Linked DNA regions of Schizosaccharomyces pombe. The gene in region 1 interacts genetically with each later gene. Each region holds a gene or a part of one and is shown on either strand. Other genes may lie near its edges.

Region 1 (4,501 bases):
GAACGATTTAACAATAAATCCAAAATAATTAACTACGCAAACAACCATTAATTTGAGAGTAAAGTTCATACAAGAACTGAGACTCAAGGTACGCAGAAGTTCAAATAGCAAAAATACTTACTGAAGATACCGGTTTCATTATAGAGGGCTCTTGAGAAATTTCCGTTGAGCTGTTCATTGACATGATTGTATTAAAGCCACATCCGTTAGGAGTAATAAAAAGAAATCAGAATGAAACTCGTCAGTAATATTTAAAAAAAAGGTACTAAAATATTGTTTTGGTTTCCTAAGGAAAGCGCACTGGAGTAGCTCGATATTCTTGCAGTTATGAATCGTAACGTAATTGCGCTATCCAAAATATACCGTACAAGTTGCACAAATTAACCCTTCTATTTACTTAATTTTTTGCTAAATGAATTAGTAATGCAGCAATCTCATTTACTTCATAATGTCTTCAATTACTTACTGCTGATAGTTGATAGAGCACGAAAACAATGCCAGTTTGTTAATGTTAATTTATTACATATCGGTTGTATGCTGATGTTGCTGCATGCTGAATTTTAACACAGAGCGCATCCCTCTAAACTTCTCGACTATCATCAAGTCAGTCGTGAAGCTTTCAACTGAATAAACCTATGCAACATAATTTCAGCTTAAAAGCTATTAATTAGCTGATCTTAAGTAATACAAAGTAATATATCAAATCGTAACATCCAATTCTTCCCGTATGGTTTGTCTTATTTTTAATAATAATATCCTTATGATAAAACATCTACATGTGATATAAATTATGCAGAATAATAAGTGTAAATGGAACAGAAGCCATCAAATTACAGCAGCTCACTCAACTTTTATATCATTCTGTTAAGGTCCAAAGGTGACGAATGAGAAGAGTGATTAGTATCGTTAATTTCGGAAGTTTGGTTTTGAAGATAAGAAGGATCATGATGAACGACTGTCGAAGACTCTACCAAAGTAGGCGAATTCTGAATTTCTTTGGTTGTAGCCAATGTTTTAGTGGAAAAGGATGAAGAAGTTAGTGAATGGGCATGCCTGTGTAAAATTGAACTGCTTGGTCTCTCATGAATTGTTGCACGCGAGCGAGATGGAGCCAAAATGCGCAAGTTTGAAGGAGGGCGTTGATTTATTGACGAAGGAGGGCGACGGTTGATTGATGAAGAAGGACGAACGATATTAGCCGCTTTAGTACGAACATTGCCTGTAGTTGTCCTCGAAGAGAGAGTGGATTGAATGCGAGAAGGTGAACGAACACCTAAAGAAGTACCTGGACGAACGATTTTAGCTGATGAATTTTTCACATTAACTTCTCTCTGTTCTAATCTTGAGGGAGTACGCGCCTGCGCGTTACGTGAAACAGGTCGTACAGCTAATGAAGAAGCTACCCGAACAGTTGAGTTAGAAGTGGCAGAGACGTTGGGTCTTTGAGTATTGGACGCAGAGTTTTCTCTGAAGATTCTGGATCCCGGTCGGACAGTCTGAGCTGCACTTACAGGACGCACGATCTTGGTCGATGCGTTGACTTTTACTTTGGAAGGACTAGTAGAATTCTTTGAGATACTTCCGGAAGCATTTGTTACGTTAACTCTAGATAATGGACGGGTGGTGGAAGTCCTTGTGGGTGGACGAACGACAGAAGAATTTCCGAGAGAACGAACAGAAATTCGAGGAGAAGCTGAAGGCTTGTCGTTAGAGCCAGGAGATTTGACGACGGGGCTATCATCCGACTTTGCATTGAAGCCGACCTTTGGTGAGCGCACATTCGGGCCATTACCAAGGCGTGATGGTGAACGAACTGCCATTGAAGATTTCGCTCTCGGAATAGCAGCAATTCTAGCATTTGAGGACATTCGGGCGATAGACGACGTTGAAGGTTTTGTAATAGTAGCGACATGTTTAGAGGTCGTTACAGAAGGAGATTCCTTGGAAGAAATTGAATTCTCATGTAGTGATGCCTCTTTGGGAATGCGAGGTGCGTTATTTGATAACCTGGCCAAACTAGTCGAGGGTCGAAGACGTTGAGAGGGATTACGAATATTCCGAGCTTTGGCTCGTACATTATTAGTCTTTGAAGTAGGATTAGATATTTGGGTATTTCCTAATGACTGGCCTTGGGTAACCCGAGATTGAGAGGTAGGAACTGATGGTGAAGAAATGTTTACTTGCTGTAAAGAGGCACTTAATTTATCAATAGCCGAGGATTCCTCAGTATCCATTACAGAGTTCTCACCTCCATTATGAAGTTGTGAGGTGGTAGAATCCGTGAAAATCGACGTAGAATGCAGTTCCTTGAGAATATTCGATGTTTGCATTTGTAGTTGCTCCAGTCTTTGAAGCATATTAGACTCGGCCTCTGCCAAAGGCTCTTGGCTTGGTGAACCCGGCATTGGCAGAATAAAATTGAATAAGACTCGCAATCAACAACCCTGAATGCACAAAAGAGAAAGCCAAATACACTACACCGTTAGCTGGTATCGCCCAACACTAGGTAGCAATAACAAACTACGTCCTATATTGTTAGTGTATATATAACGAATTCTATTAATCCCCGTAAAACTCTTGCTACCTGATGCAAACAAATAAAATTACCTTCATAAGTGCTGCACTGTTTACATATTTTCTATCCAGCTGACCGATTCTTTTCAATATATGTATTCATTTGACCATAATAATTATCGTTAAATTGTGATTGCTATGAATATACTTTTCCGTTCCCTCCCAGATTTCTGTTCCCGTTGTTTTTCCAAAGCAAATCATTGATGGGAGAGAGCAATGTGAAAATTAAGATGCAAGTGTACAATGAGAATAACATGTACACATTGAGGAAACCCGCTATAACTCTTCTTCCACAGCATCATACCGATTCTACAAATCTCCCGTAGTGGTAAGTACTACGAAAAATGTTATAGTAGAAATATCATTTGAAGAGTTTGTTACCAACTTTTACGACTTTGGTATGTCGTTATTTGAATTAATAAAAGTGATAATGCTTTGTGTGCATTTTTGGGCAACTATCTAGTTTATTTGTTCATTCGGTTCATTCGTCTCCTATGTACCGAGGGAATGTCAAGGAGAGTGTTACTCCCAGTCACTGCTCAAGGTGTGCAAGTTACCTTCGGTTCCTTATTAAATTGACATCAAAGACGGTTTGCAAATGTTACCAGATATGGACGTATATATACATAGAATACCCCAATTAAGACTTTGAAATTCCGTCTTTCACTTTTTAGTCTATATCTATTGTTCAGACTAAACGCAGGCTTAACGCCTTGTCCTACTCCCTTCGCTTCATCTTGTGCTACTCTATTGATGAGTATTTATTAATTTTTCCGCTTTCTTTTGATTAATTCATTCAGCGGTTTGTTTTTGTTTTTCCATCCTTTGTTGTCTTTCATATCGTTTTATTTCGTTCCTTTTTTTTTAACTATCTCAATTGGGATAAGCTTTATTTTTCGTAATTGTAATAAGCTCTAAGAAAACGTTCCCTACTGTTTTACTTTTTTTTATTACTGTTCACTTTCTATTTCCTACTCACGGTTCTCTTGCTTTGCTTCCTTCGATAAAACTAAGCAAGTTTGATCCTTTATTTATTCAATTGTCGGCTTCTAAAACTTCGTCTGTTCGCATAATTTCATATCTCGTTAGGGTAACTTCTTTCGGACGGAACACTAAAGATTTCGTTTACTGATTATTTTCTGTTTACAGTCTGGACTTTATACCCATTTCTAAATAAATTAAACACCCGAAATATCACTACAACCCTATATCCCATTAATCCCTTGGCTATTTGGATTATCAAGCTTATTTATTATTCTCAGGTTTCTCTAATTTTGTGCATAATTCAAGTTTGAAAACATTTCGTGTAATTCAAAAAAAAAGTTTCCCTTTGTTACATATTTGTCGAATTATTTTCTCATTAAAACCTTTAATCCCATCACTTCACCTTTGATTGTGATTTGTTTCCATTTTACTTTTATTTTCTCTTTTTCTTAAAATTTATTACCATGCTTCCACATCAAAATTCCAGTTATACCCGTCAAGGCACTAATGATGCGCAGGCAAATGATATGCGCAGTCCATCGCAACTTCCTACTTCTGTCAACATTGAAGATCCCTCTAAGTTATGTATATCGAGTGAAAAATTAAATACCCCTATGCATAATCGTTCCCGTTCTGGTATTAAGAAACATACTTCTGTCAAGCGTTCTCGCTCCTTCAAACTATTTGATACACTTTTCTTTGGTATTCTAAGGCTCCGTAAGCAACGGATAAGGTCGGTTAAAAAGGTACGATCAATTTCATCTCCTGTCTTAATCAGTACTACTTCTGCCTTGGCTTTGGCTACTATTGAACAACAGCCAGTAATTGGGGAATGTTCGTGATTATTTTGTGCACATGTCAGCATAATTAAATAAATTCATATATAATGCTATCTTTTTGTCCAACTAAATTTTTGATTTTTGATTTTTTTTTTTTTTAATAA
Region 2 (3,716 bases), on another chromosome or scaffold:
GGTAATTGCTGAAAAAAACTAAGTTTTGGAATGAAAATTGATCGTCATATCACCTTGATAGAACAGATTTTTCATCTTTCTTGAACTTGTTCTCAAAAAGTTGGAATATTTCTATTTTACCTTAATTACATAGTTTAAACTATTTTCGTTCGGAAAATGATTTTACAGATTTTTTTTTTTAATCTAACTGGTAGAAGAATTTCTGTGTTTTATGTCTCGATTATTAATTTACTGCGTTTAATTATAAAATGAAGCGATGAACTAGTCATTCCCAAGGGCGAAAAGCGGTCAAATGTACTTGTTTTCAAAAAAAAAATTGACGGTTTCTTAGTATGACAATAGTGATAATTTGATATCGATTGAAGTGGTTTTCTGTTAAATGATACTATACATCTGTGAATGGGTTGGAAATTAAAATGTTAATCTAATTTTTGTTAATAGTTTATTCACGTAGGTTAGTGAAATGACGGTTCAAAGGTTGCATAAGTATTGGAAATCGATGAAGTATGTCAAGCAAAAACATTTTGTAAAATGAATAAATTTCAAAAAAAAAATATTTTTTTTTAGAATAATTTGGAATAATCATGCATTTCTGTATATGTTAAACTTTTAATATAAATCTGTGCTTGAGTATGAAATGAATTATCTAAAAAACAGTGTTTGAATAAACGTGTCCCAATAATAATGATAAATTGTAAAAAATATGTAGGAATTATACAAAATTTATTAAGCCACAAATAGGAATAGTAATTAACGTACAAAATTTGATTTGAATTTAATAATTTAAATGCGACTAAGTTACTTGCTTTTCTATTTACCAAAACGAATTCCAAAGAGAAAAAAATAAGCAATTAATAGTTTGGCAAAACACTTACTGCATGAATTAAATTAATAATCCGACATGCATTAATAAATTCTTGGTTGCTAAATTCAAATAAAGAAGTAATCAGCAGTTCTTTGCTCCTTAGTCGAATGATTACTTTTTTTCTATTCCATTCACCTTCTATTTCGTATTTGTTATATTCATAAAGTCTAGGAAAAATATAAAAAGATTTCCAAGATCCTAATTATCTATTTAAAATTATTATGTTGATATATCGTCGCGTAATATAATTAAATCTTTTTTTATCGAAACCTCAACAAGCTTTGGTGGTTTAGTGGTATAATGAATCGTTGCCATCGATTCGACCCGGGTTCGATTCCCGGCCAAAGCATTATTTTTTACCAAAACAATTTTTGGATTTATTTTGATTTGTTTGAATTCAAGCACGTGGTACTCTGGATACCTAAAATATGTACAACTATAGATTCCAGTAATATATATATTGCAAATGACTGAACTCAATTCTTCAGGCGCTATACTGTGAATGCAATGTTTCTACGATTTTTTGCCATGAAAAATAACGATGCTTATTTACCACGATTCAAAGTAACTAAGCGTTTGGTTATATTCGCTTGGAATACCAATCTACATTACAATGAGGAGGCAATAATTGCTATGATATAAAGCTATTGTCAGAACCAAAAAGTCCTGAGTTTATGGGAAAGAGTGAGCTTACTAGTTATGTAAGATATTACACTCTCTATCACAAAAAAAAGCAAGTATGCGGTAACAATTCTTCGATTCCATGACTCTTTTTAATTGGCAAGTTGTTGTGCTTCTTCCGTCGGTCTAAAACAACTAAATTCTTATTTATTGACATCTTTAAGACCAAAATAGTCGCTTGTCAAATTCGTTACTTCCAAGTGCCACCATGTGCTTGTTACTTAAGAAAAATTTAGACAGTCACACGCTCCTATTTATTAAGGAAGTGTAGTCAGGTTAGCGAGAAAAAGTACATTTTTTCTGTTTTTTTTTATTTTTCTTAATTTTCTTTAATAATTTTTTTTAATTGTAAAGGAGTTGTTAAGATGGAGTCTGAATCTGTTCCCACCGTTCCTCAAACCACTCGTCCCGGTCCTCGATGCTATAACTGTGGTGAAAACGGTCATCAAGCTCGTGAGTGCACCAAGGGTTCAATCTGCTACAATTGCAATCAGACCGGTCACAAGGCTAGCGAATGCACTGAGCCTCAACAGGAAAAAACTTGCTATGCTTGTGGTACCGCCGGACATCTCGTTCGTGATTGCCCCAGCAGCCCTAACCCCCGTCAAGGTGCGGAATGTTACAAGTGTGGTCGTGTTGGTCACATTGCTAGAGACTGTCGTACAAATGGTCAACAAAGTGGCGGACGATTTGGTGGTCATCGCTCCAACATGAATTGCTATGCTTGTGGCTCTTATGGCCATCAAGCCCGTGATTGCACTATGGGCGTGAAATGCTACTCTTGTGGTAAGATTGGACACCGCAGCTTTGAATGTCAACAAGCTTCAGATGGTCAACTTTGTTACAAGTGTAATCAACCAGGCCACATCGCCGTCAATTGCACCTCTCCTGTAATTGAGGCATAAGTGCTTGCTATTTATAACCCTTTGTCGTGGTATGAAGATATTTTTTCTTTTTCTTGTCCGATTTATTCAAATTTGGCAAGTGGTCATATTCTTACAAATCCCTTGAGCGATCTGCGCATTTAGTTATATAGAAAGCATAATTTTACATCCTTCTCTTCGTCCTTATTTTTTCGCACACTTCTGAATTCATTTTTGCTTCGGATCCTTAAGGATATTTGTACTGAAGCCTGAGATGCACCACCTCATTTCTCTCCTGTTTTCTCGTCACCGCTAAAAGATGGATGTTGATAGATTAAATCCTTTTTGTTTCAGTTTATTTTTACTGTTGTAGTGGCATTTTTTTCCTATTATTTTCAATTCACGAGCTTGAAATAAAAAAATTTGGAATATGGGAATTCTATAAATGATAGAAATTCCTTGGTCCATTTGGATGATTTGTTTTTTTTAGTGCCATTATTTAATGGAACTTTTGGTTTTATATGACAACTCACTATCAATTTCATTTACGAAATGGGTTTTGGCGTTTTCGTATTTTTTGAGTAACTTAATTTACCTTATGTGTTTGTACAGTAAATGTTAATGCTCTGACTTATTAACAACTTCTCTACTTCTTAATCTCTCATGGTATCTGTATAACAATATTTACAAAAGGGTTCTGGGTCATTTGCCTAATTAATATTATTTTTTCCTTGCATTGCTTACTCTGCTTTTCAAAAATGAACTGTAATTGAAAACGGGTGAACGATAAATGTAACAGTTGTCATAGACAAAAAAAAATTTATTAACTTCAATTTTACTTTCATACAAATTTGACATCGAATTTGTCTATTACATAAAATCGTAGTATATTAATCCAAAATTTTATTGTTCACATAACTCAGCCAACTGCGCTCGAAACAAACGAAATAAACTTCTTGCAAATTCACCTTGAGAATGGTAAATACTCTTGAACGCTTTCTCTTCATCCCTAGCCAATTGAACATGCTCCGATAACCAAGAGGGGAATTTTTGACCAGGCCTGCTTATATATCCCACCCCTAAACGATCTTTCATAACATCAAATTTGTATCTACTTACAGGTTCATAAAAGTCAATGATTGCTTCTAAGCATTGATCACATATATTGGTAGCAACAGAAGGCCGGTAAAATGAGGTAATGCAATCTTTAAACTTAGTTAACTTCGGTATTCTATTGCAAAGCACACAACGGCCTACAAGATTGCATGCTAGCTCTATATATGTAGACTCATCGCATGACTGTGTTC
Region 3 (5,672 bases), on another chromosome or scaffold:
CTGGTAAAGATCCATATTTCCCGGCCAATTCTTTCATATCGACTGCAACGTGGCATGGGAAGCCTAAGCGTTCAGCTTCAGCATATGCTTTTTTACTCCAGGCTCCGGTAATAATATAGTTTGCAACAAGAGATTTAGCATTGCCATTCTTGAGGGCATGGTGTGCATAAACATTATAAAGACAAGCGGCAAATTGTTCTGTACCACCGCCTTGCATAAATAAAATATGAAAGTTTTCGGGGATATTGTAAAGTTTACGAAAATTGGATTCAGCAGAAGTAACGATCCCGGAACCTTGCTTGCTGCGATGGGAAATTTCAGCGACACCCATGCCAAGGCCCTGGAAATTGACAAAGTCCTTTCCAAATTCCTCAACTACAGAGGTAATCATAGCGGCAGGACCGGCAGCAAAATTAACTACTTCCTCTCTGGATGACATTTTGTTCCGTGAGCTCAAGCAGAAGTATACTTAGAATTTAAAATAATCTGAATATCAATTTTCACAGGTATTACTCCAAAACTATTTATATGAGAGTAAAACTAATTACAATAGTAAATGTCGCCTAGAGAAATCAAAACCTGTCAACGTGATCCAATTATCAACTCCTATGATATGGGTTAAGAGGAAGTGAGTGAAGTCACTACTTCTTTTTTATACACACCGATGAGATCCCAAAAATGATAGCGTATTCGTTTACGCTTTGTCAATTTAATTCTTTTACAGTAATTTATATTTTAGATATCTCATTACATTAATTGACATTTCGCGTCTAAATCTCATATGTGGGAACTTCTACCTTTTCACTTCGTGGTTTTCGTACTCAACTCAAGCCCCAGAAAAGACCGGTTTATTTTAAATTAAAAAACACCTAAATGATTTTAAGATCAATTGTATATTATGAATAATGACAATTTGCATGATAAGTTAACGATATGGCGCCAACAGCAAATTGAACTTAAAGGGATGTTGCAGCTAATTCCCAAATTTCAAAGTTTGAATGAAATAAGATATGTTGTAGGATTGGATATCTCTTTTGATAAATCAAGTCCAAAGGCTGTCTCAGCCCTTGTTATTTATGATTTAGAACAACGTATGATTATTTATAAAGATTATTTGTGCATTGAGAAATTAGAAGAGGACTATGTTCCCGGGTTTCTTTCATTTCGAGAAATTAAATGGTATTTGCCATTGCTAAATCACATTCCTCATCAATTTCGAATTGATATCATTTTAGTAGATGGAAATGGCGTATTGCATCCTGTCGGTAAGTAAGATTCTGTAAACAATCTATTTACTTCAAGGAGACACTCTCAATGAAGGATATTATTAATTATATCTAACTCAACTTAGGATTTGGATTGGCTTGCCATTTAGGTGTGTTGTTGAATCTTCCCGTTGTTGGCGTCGCGAAAAATTACTTACATTGCGTGGGTTTGACTGAAAGCTTAGATGCACATCGTGAAACTTTAAAGAAACACGTGCTAAAGAAAACAACTGATCATCCAATATTGATTCACTCGATTGATCAATCTTCTGAGATTCTGGGCGCTGCAGTATGGACAAGCAGTAACTCGAAACGCCCAGTTTATGTTAGCATCGGTAACCAAATGAATTTAGAACAGTCTATCCAACTCGTACAGAAATGCAGTAGCTCTCATAGCAGGGTACCGGAACCGATCAGGCAAGCAGACATTTATGCCAAATTTGTCCTAAGTCAATCGAAAAGGAATAAGAAAAATTAAGCAAAATCATCTTACGAGAAACATTACTTTGTCTACTTAGATATTCTGTGAGTATTTTAATTGACGGTTTAGAATTAGATTAATCTACAGGAAAGAGAAATAAAAAAGCGGAATTTGAACAAACGTTAAGCAACCTTTAATGGAAATCCTGTTGTATCATCCAAGCTTAGTAAAGGTCAAAAAATTACCGTTCAAGTCATATAAAGATACACAAATCTTTGAAATGAAAAAACAAGCCCAATTAAAACAGAAAGATAAAAAAACAAAATTGACGGAAGAAACTAAAATTCGAATCAATCTCTTTGAACATTTGTAGGACATGAAGGTGGAGGTAGTGGAATATCAGTGGGAGAGGATCTAGCAACTTGCTCATATGCAGGAGGACTGGGTCCAACACTATTGAACATTGGGGGGCATTCCTCATCCCAACTAACACCAAGACCACCTCGTTCAGTCAAAGGTAAATTGACCTTCATCCTTAAAATTCGGGCATTCGAGTTTATGGGATGCGAGTTCATCACTTCGACGACTATAGTCTCAAGAATTAGTTGATGGGCAATATATAGAGAGAATTGTCCATCAAAGGAAACATCACAAATAGGCTTTGAAAGTAAAGATGTACTGATAGGGATCTCGAAGATAATTCTATCGCCATCTTCTTTCCAACCAGACTTATGTTCATTATTTCCCAACAGCCGAGTCTCCTTGAAAATGTATGGCTTTTTTGTCCCAGTATGGGTCGAGCAACCATTTATTTGAGCTTTTATCTGTTCTTCTATTCTCCACGAAATCTTCGTTAAGCGCCAACCAACCTTGGAGTTTTCAGGTTTTACACCGGTCAGCTGAAATTCAACAGGAACACAACTCAAAGGGTGAATTACAGGAGGCAGCTCTAAAAGAGCAATAAGCGAAGTAGGGGGGAAGAGACGCTGGGCAATTTTATCAGCATTAGTGACAATAGAGCGTTTCAAGTTTAAAGGATATTCAAAAACAAAATCGGGTTGACTGGGAATCTTAACGCGAGTTTTTAGGATGTAAGTAACGTTTATGAATGGTGAGTTGGTCGTTTGTGGAAAATGTCCAGGTATTATAAAAGTGAATGGCCAAGTATGTGTACCATGAGTATATACGGTAGGTTCTTTAGAAAACTCCCATTTCTCAAAAGCCTCAACCTGAGCTTTGCAATCGGGACAGCTGTCGCGCAAAGGACGCTTTGTGGATATTATGCGGACGAATTCCATGACAATGGATTCGCATTTGAGATCTGCAGGAAATACAGTCAACTTGGCAAGTCCAGATGCTAACGCTCCACTAGAAACATCTGGATTCCCATACATTACCAAAGGAGGAGACTCCATCTGGATGTTGAGTTCGAAAGGTTGTTCTTCTGTTGAAGCATGCTGAAATCTCCTGACTAATGAAGGCATCTTGACGGTTCAGCTAATGACTTAGGAATTAAATATTAAAAGGAAAGAGTAGGAAAAAATGAATCTAAAGAACAAAGGGGGGCCCGATCAGAAGAATTAATATGAGATTGAAATTAAACAAACAGAAAACGGCTATGAAGAGAATGAAATATATTTTTTGGTAAAAATTTTAAATTAATATATATCCTTAACAGCTTCTGAGGTTGAAAGCGACAGCACAAGAGATGAACTCAGGTTTTATGTAGAACGGAATAGGGATTATCGAATTTGGAGCTTACTCCTTAAACGTTTGATCAAAGATAAGCAATTGTGCTTCAATTTTTTTCAAATGATATAAAACAATTGAAAAAACAACTTCCTCTCAATAGTAGTTCGAAATGGAAAAAACAATTAAGTAGCGTTGAATGTGTTTTTCTATGCCAAAATATTTACTCAAATCAATATACAGGAGCCTTTTTTTAGCGTCCAAAGAAATACTTTGCTCACTGTAAGCAGAGCGTAACTATGAATACAGTGCATATAGCACCTCCCTATGAAAAATATACTAATGTAGTAAGAAGAGAAGGTTTTTGCAAAGGAAGAATAGGAAGTGTAGTCTGCATGCTCCCCAGGCCACTGAATGCGAAGGTTTTCAAAGTTTGTTATCTACAATCTTACGTAGCTGTGCGTATCTCAAGCCGACCTAAACAAATCTCGTTATTCCAAATAATATTTATTTTAAACAGTTATCATAATTCTATATGATAATAATCCATAGTAACTAAGCTGTTTTATATGTATCTGAACAAAGGAATAGAAAAAATAAACCCAGTTTCCAAGTTTTTCTTTCTTTTATCCTTGAACATATGTATGTTTAATTCTTAAGATATTGCTACCTAAGGATTTGTAATAAAAAATACGTTATGATAAATATTAAAAAAATAACACATAAATAAGCATATGCCTCTAGAAGCCTAACAAATTTATGTTTTTTATTGCTGAACTATTTTTTTAAAACACATGCAAAAAATGATTTGCCGATACTTTGAAGCCGTCACAGCTGTTTGTTGCAACTGAATACACTTTCCTCAATATCGGAGTTATTTCCGGCGATCTAATCGACGTGATAACTGGAGAAAGTTATCATATCTTATCATTTGTAATTCTAAAAGTAAAATCGATCAACTCATAAAATAACATTTCACTTTGCTGCACTGTAGATTTTTCTTATCAAATCTATTGGTGTACTAAACAGACTAGCTAACGTTTGCTGATCCGATCGACTATAGCAGCACACTCACTCTCTATACCATAAGACGTTGCCGAACCGACATCTATCGTCATTCAAATAATCTTTGGATTTGGTAATTTTAGTCGTTTACATACGCTACTTAGTATTTTTTTGGATTTTACGCTTTTCTACTAAAGTATACGAAAATTAGACTACCTTTCGTGAACAATATAATTGACCAAATCTTAGAGCTGAAATTTTTTGAGAAATATGTCTTATATGCATTCTTTAAACCTGATGCTGCAAAATCCCAGCGGAATTGACAAAATTGCTGCCATTCTTGTCAACGTTGCGAGGTTGGATCCAGCATCTTCGAAATCAACTGCTCAACTGGTTTCTATGCTAAATGAATTTCGATGTATTTTACGTCTTCCTGGTCTCTACAAATTAATCGTAAATTTTCGTAAAGATTCTTCTCCTGAAACTTACATGAGTAACGCAATCAATATTGGATACTATGTCACAGAAGGATTGGCATTCTTAGGCGGCAAACAGATTATTTCCATATCAAAACCGTTGGAAGACAAATTATGGCTTTGGTCTTCTAGATTTTGGCTTCTCGATACTTTATTGACCATTTACCAGCTTTTGCGTGAAAAAACAGAAGACGAAAAGGAGCATCAGTTAGACTTAGCTTCAAACTTGGCTAGCCTTCCTTTGTGTATTCACTGGTCTGTAGAAAATGGAGCTGGTTTACACAAACACCAAATTGGAGTTCTTGGTCTTTTCAGCGCAATTGTACAAACTAGAAAACTAATCCTCTCTTTGCACAATAAAAGAGCTTAGTTACGAATGAGCTTTTTAAATTTAAATAGAAGTTACTTTTTTCATGTAATTCTATTCGTGCTCAACTATTTTTCGTTTTCTCGAATGTCTATGTGAGTAAAGTAGTAAACAAAAGTGGTAACAGTCGTCTTGGTTTTTTCAGCAAAAATCGAAATATGCCATTCTAAATGAAGGGACTGAATCGGTTTAAAGCTTGAAAGGTTTTAGAAATGAAGTCGATTTTAATCGTTAATCCATTCCATTAAAGCGTTTTAAATTTTGGGATATTGATCGAAAATTTAATCAACGGAAAACATTAAGTTACTCTTTGTTTGTCACCAAAATGTACCTTGTCATTTTTTTCTAATTGAACTGAATATCTTTATTAACGAGTGTTTTTAATGGCCCTGCAATTTCAAATTGAGGATGTACGATATCATACTTTTAAGTATATCATATATAAACGT
Region 4 (4,071 bases), on another chromosome or scaffold:
TCAATCTCAATACTGTTTCATACAACGATGAATGATTAGGACATGTGTCATATAGTGATACTCAACGTAGTGTATCCTTGAGTAATGTATTGTTGACAACACTACTTATTTATCCCACAGTAAACAATGTAAATAAAGCGCGAAATTGTTGATCGATGCAAAGGTTAAGGTAAAAAGGGTTTTCAATGTAGCTAGGAATCCGGGATTTACTCACTTATTATACCATTTGTAGCATACTAATCATATTGAGTTAGCATATAATATAATAACAACGAATGTTTGACAAGGCCACTAGCGACAATTGTATAATACGTGAAAACAAATCACTTTAGTTATTTAAAGTTTTCTAACATAGGAACATTATTAATTGTAATTACATTTAAAACTTTTGAAATCTATCACAATAAAAAGCGATTGCAAAAAAAAAAAAAAAAAAAGGAAGCAACACAGATGATGTGCATTGTAACAAATAGATCAATTACGGTGAACAACTTTAATACAATACAACTAACAACGATAAAACATTCATTTGAAAAGGGGAACAATTTTTTTCATTCGTAACAAAAATAAAGCAAATTATTCATGAAGTTATAAGGGGCGTAAAAAACTTTGGAGTAGGCCGAAAAGGTTGATCATTAAATCACTAGATTAACGGGAAAAGCTTACAACTTTTTTAAAAAAATAAAAAAAAGGAAGAAAGAAAAAAGGTAAAAAAAGTTCCAAGAGGAAAGGAAGCACACGAAATAAAAGACTACTATAGAAAAAAAAACACTCAGGACATTAATGATCAATGAAGAAAACCCGCTTAAAAATTTCTTTTCTTCTTTTGGATTTACTAGGGAAAATTGAAGCTGGGGATAAAAATAATGCCTATGGATGAATGTCGGTCAAGTGAGGACTATGACGAGAAGGGGGTAATCTAAAACGCTCGGTCCATCCAGTTTGTTCTTGCCATTTTTGTGAATAGGAGTCAACGGCTTTAATAGCGTCAGCAATTTGAGATGGATTGAACTTCTTTGACATGTTGTGAATACTCTCATCAGGTCGCAAAGTAGCTCTACCTACCATCAATAACTCTTCATCGGTTACGTTGGGAATACCAAGTTCCTCAAGGGTAATGGGAAGATGACATTTTGCCATAAAAGAAGCAAGATTATTGAAGTCTTCCAACGGCCAATCCTCCAAAACAACTTGAACTAAGGTACCGTAAGCAACCTTTTCACCATGCATTAAACGATGAACGGGACCGTGGATGGCGGTCATACCGTTATGGATGGCATGAGCAGCAGCAAGACCACCGTTTTCAAAGCCTAGACCAGACATCAATGTGTTGGCCTCGACCACGTTCTCAAATGCCTCGGTACAAACACCGCGAGTGTTGGAAAGAATAGCGCTCAGGGCATACTTTTCAAGAGTGTCTTTGCAAGCACGGGCAATGTAACGGCCAGCAATGGAGGCCACACCTCCGGCAAAGGAAGTGGAATTTGAGCGAATAACGGATTCAGTTTCCACCCAGGTGGACAAAGCATCACCAATGCCACTAATAAGGAAGCGGACGGGAGCGCGAACAATCACATCGGTATCGATGAAAATGAGGTTGGGATTAAGGGGGTAAAAGCTGTATTTTTGGAATTGACCGTCAGGAGTGTAAATGACGGAAAGAGAGGAAGTAGCGGCATCAGAGGAGGCAGTAGTAGGACAAATGATGGATGGAAGATTCATGGAATGAGCAATATACTTTGCGGAATCCATGGTTTTACCACCACCAACTCCAATGATGACTTGAGTATCATCAGGGCACTGTTTGCGAAGTTTATCCAGTTCCACCAAGCTTGCCTCGCCGCCAAAGACCAGTTTGGTGACAGTCATTCCGTTTTGAGAAAGAGAATCGACAATTTTATTGGCACAAATGTTCCATACGTTCTGGTCGGCAAGCACGACAGCTGATTTAGTGGCCCATTTTTTGACATACATATAGGATCTAGTGAAGGCATGACGACCCTGAACATACTTTTGAGGAGAGGTGAAAATGCGATCTTTGGATTCTTCAAACTCTACACCAACTTTGTGAGGCGTCTCCGTTTCAATAGGAGCATAAAAGCGTTTGCCCCAACGTTGTGCAACGGCATTGGAAGAGGCGAGCGCAAATACTTTAGAGTTCCTGTGGGCGAGGGAAACGAGAGGGAAGCGAGGGGTTGCAGCGCAAAGACGAGGACCAATCATTATGAAGGAAGTTCAAAGACTAGCTAAGCGTTACGAATAGAAATCGAATCAAATCGAAGAAAAGAGAAATACAAGAATAGGCGTGTGGAACGGTTCTTACCTTTCTTGAAATTTATTTCGATACAGAAGAATCCTTATTTAAAAAGAAAAAGGAAATAGGTAAAGAAGCACAAGTAACTAAGAAGGAGAGAAACGCAATGGAACAGAGGTCCAAAAAGAAAAAACAACTATATGTGTATATATATACTTGTTTGCGGAATCAATAGACAGTCGAAAGATCACGAAAGTTCCAAGAATGAACGGGATATATGATCTCGGCTGGCCAAAAAAAAAGGGATCGACGTAGTCAATGGTGATTGTCAAAACTAGAATCAGCCGATCGACGGTAAACGGGAAGAGTAGGAAGAATGAAAAGAGAAAAAATATTTAAAAATTAAAGCAACGAAAGTTGATTAAAAAAATAATTAAAGAAAAGAAAAAAAAACCCAAGTGGTAGTGAAAACTTGCTATGGTTTTATTTTACAATGGAAAAAGCAATTCTGTTAAAAAAAGAAGAGAAGAGAAGAGGTGGATGGATGGATGGATGGATGGGGGAAATATGGAAAACTGCGAAAGCAATAACCAAGAGCAAAGAATTCAGCGCTGCCCCTCTACATATAAACTTGATGAGAGGGCGATGACACCACACATATCCACCGCAATTGCCAGTTCCCCACTGCGGAAGCCAAACCCAAGCAGACAGGAAAATAACGTAACAAAAGATGAGGCAGGATAAACCCATGACTCGTTGGTCTCATAACTGCGTCATAGGGGCAAGAAAGACAACGTGGTATGCAGTACAAGACAAAAGCTTACTTGCTGAAAATCTGGGGAAATATATACAACAGCAGTCATTCGCCAGTTCCTTAATAAACGCTCGCTAAAATGACGCGACAAAAAATGAGGAGACAGGGATGAGCAGTGCCACTCAACGGCGAGGGAAAATGGGAAGAGTGGAGAGAAAGGCGGGGTCCTGCTACAATTAGAAAGCATTTGAAGAAAAAAAAGTGGATAAAAAAAAAACAAACAAATAAACAAACATTAAGAGAGACGAATAGTGGGGAGAGTGGTACAATTAGATTGTTTCTCCCCAAGATGGATAGATAATTTTACTGGTATCTGCCCCACCTTTTCCCATTGTCTCATTGAGATCCCCTCCATTCCAGCCCCAGCATTCTTCCTCTAGTCTGCAGTATGATTTCCCTGCTCCTCTTCCTCCAAAAGTTTTAGTGCCGACTTTAGATGATGAATGGCTGTCGTTGTGTCTTCGTAGTCTAATGCACTGTATGCATAGCGTGCATGACTTCGAGCAGATTGGATAGCCTCCAAGGCGGAAAACTTGTTCAAGGGGGAGGCTTTAGTCGGTTGAGATGGCCTTGATAGAGGGGCATTTGTTCTTGTTGTGGCTAAAGTTGACTTGCTGGAAAATGCTACTGACGGATCGATGGAGGTGGAGGTGGTGGTGATTGACGTAGGGGAGGGAGGCCGATGCCCATCTGATGTTTGCTTTGACTCAGGAGATAAACTTTGGATATGCGAGGAAGAGCGAGTGGAACGAGTAGGATCTATTGTTGGCAAATTTTCGGTTATTGATGTAGTTGAGGGGAACGTGGTAGGCTCATATGAATGGGAAGGTGAATTTAGTTGTGGAGCAGCCGGTGTTGAAGACAACGATTTTACGTCTGCTTCTACATTAGGCTCGGAAGATACGGCTGCAGACTTTGTAGGAGAGATGGAGAGCGATGCTGCTGGAGATGTAGTGGGGAGAGCAAAAGATGTTTCATGAGAAGCAGAGGCATTCGTTTCAAC

What was found.
Region 2: mutations in mmb1 (region 1) and byr3 together harm fitness more than expected from each alone (negative genetic interaction), as found in Schizosaccharomyces pombe (one large-scale study listed by BioGRID).
Region 3: mutations in mmb1 (region 1) and any2 together harm fitness more than expected from each alone (negative genetic interaction), as found in Schizosaccharomyces pombe (one large-scale study listed by BioGRID).
Region 4: mutations in mmb1 (region 1) and gld1 together harm fitness more than expected from each alone (negative genetic interaction), as found in Schizosaccharomyces pombe (one large-scale study listed by BioGRID).

What each region holds. Positions count from the first base shown.
Region 1 is NC_003423.3:2,608,187-2,612,687, forward strand, and holds mmb1 (mitochondrial microtubule binder Mmb1), read right to left. Parts: upstream 2,455-4,501; 5' UTR 2,358-2,454; coding exon 852-2,357; 3' UTR 502-851; downstream 1-501. Other genes in the region: BTB/POZ family ubiquitin-type ligase substrate adaptor Btb2, read right to left, coding at 122-184; SPOM_SPBC25B2.08 (uncharacterized protein), read left to right, coding at 4,023-4,400. UniProt on the Schizosaccharomyces pombe protein: Involved in the cell polarity process and in regulation of microtubule growth. Has a role in meiosis. Involved in microtubule dynamics.
Region 2 is NC_003424.3:2,246,678-2,250,393, reverse strand, and holds byr3 (translational activator, zf-CCHC type zinc finger protein), read left to right. Parts: upstream 1-1,830; 5' UTR 1,831-1,911; coding exon 1,912-2,451; 3' UTR 2,452-3,165; downstream 3,166-3,716. Other genes in the region: tRNA (uridine) methyltransferase trm9, read left to right, coding at 1-22; F-box protein Pof14, read right to left, coding at 3,313-3,716. UniProt on the Schizosaccharomyces pombe protein: Acts in the sexual differentiation pathway. Is required for efficient conjugation. Double-stranded DNA-binding protein.
Region 3 is NC_003424.3:3,810,620-3,816,291, reverse strand, and holds any2 (arrestin-related substrate adaptor Any2), read right to left. Parts: upstream 3,744-5,672; 5' UTR 3,171-3,743; coding exon 2,037-3,170; 3' UTR 1,744-2,036; coding exon of another isoform or gene 1,352-1,743; 3' UTR 1,266-1,351; coding exon of another isoform or gene 899-1,265; 3' UTR 547-898; downstream 1-546. Other genes in the region: ser1 (phosphoserine aminotransferase), read right to left, coding at 1-439; SPOM_SPAC1F12.06C (DNA repair endonuclease), read left to right, coding at 899-1,265, 1,352-1,743; SPOM_SPAC1F12.04C (uncharacterized protein), read left to right, coding at 4,651-5,226.
Region 4 is NC_003424.3:2,174,138-2,178,208, forward strand, and holds gld1 (glycerol dehydrogenase Gld1), read right to left. Parts: upstream 2,436-4,071; 5' UTR 2,224-2,435; coding exon 871-2,223; 3' UTR 504-870; downstream 1-503. Other genes in the region: vta1 (Vts1 family protein), read right to left, coding at 3,445-4,071. UniProt on the Schizosaccharomyces pombe protein: Glycerol dehydrogenase involved in the assimilation of glycerol.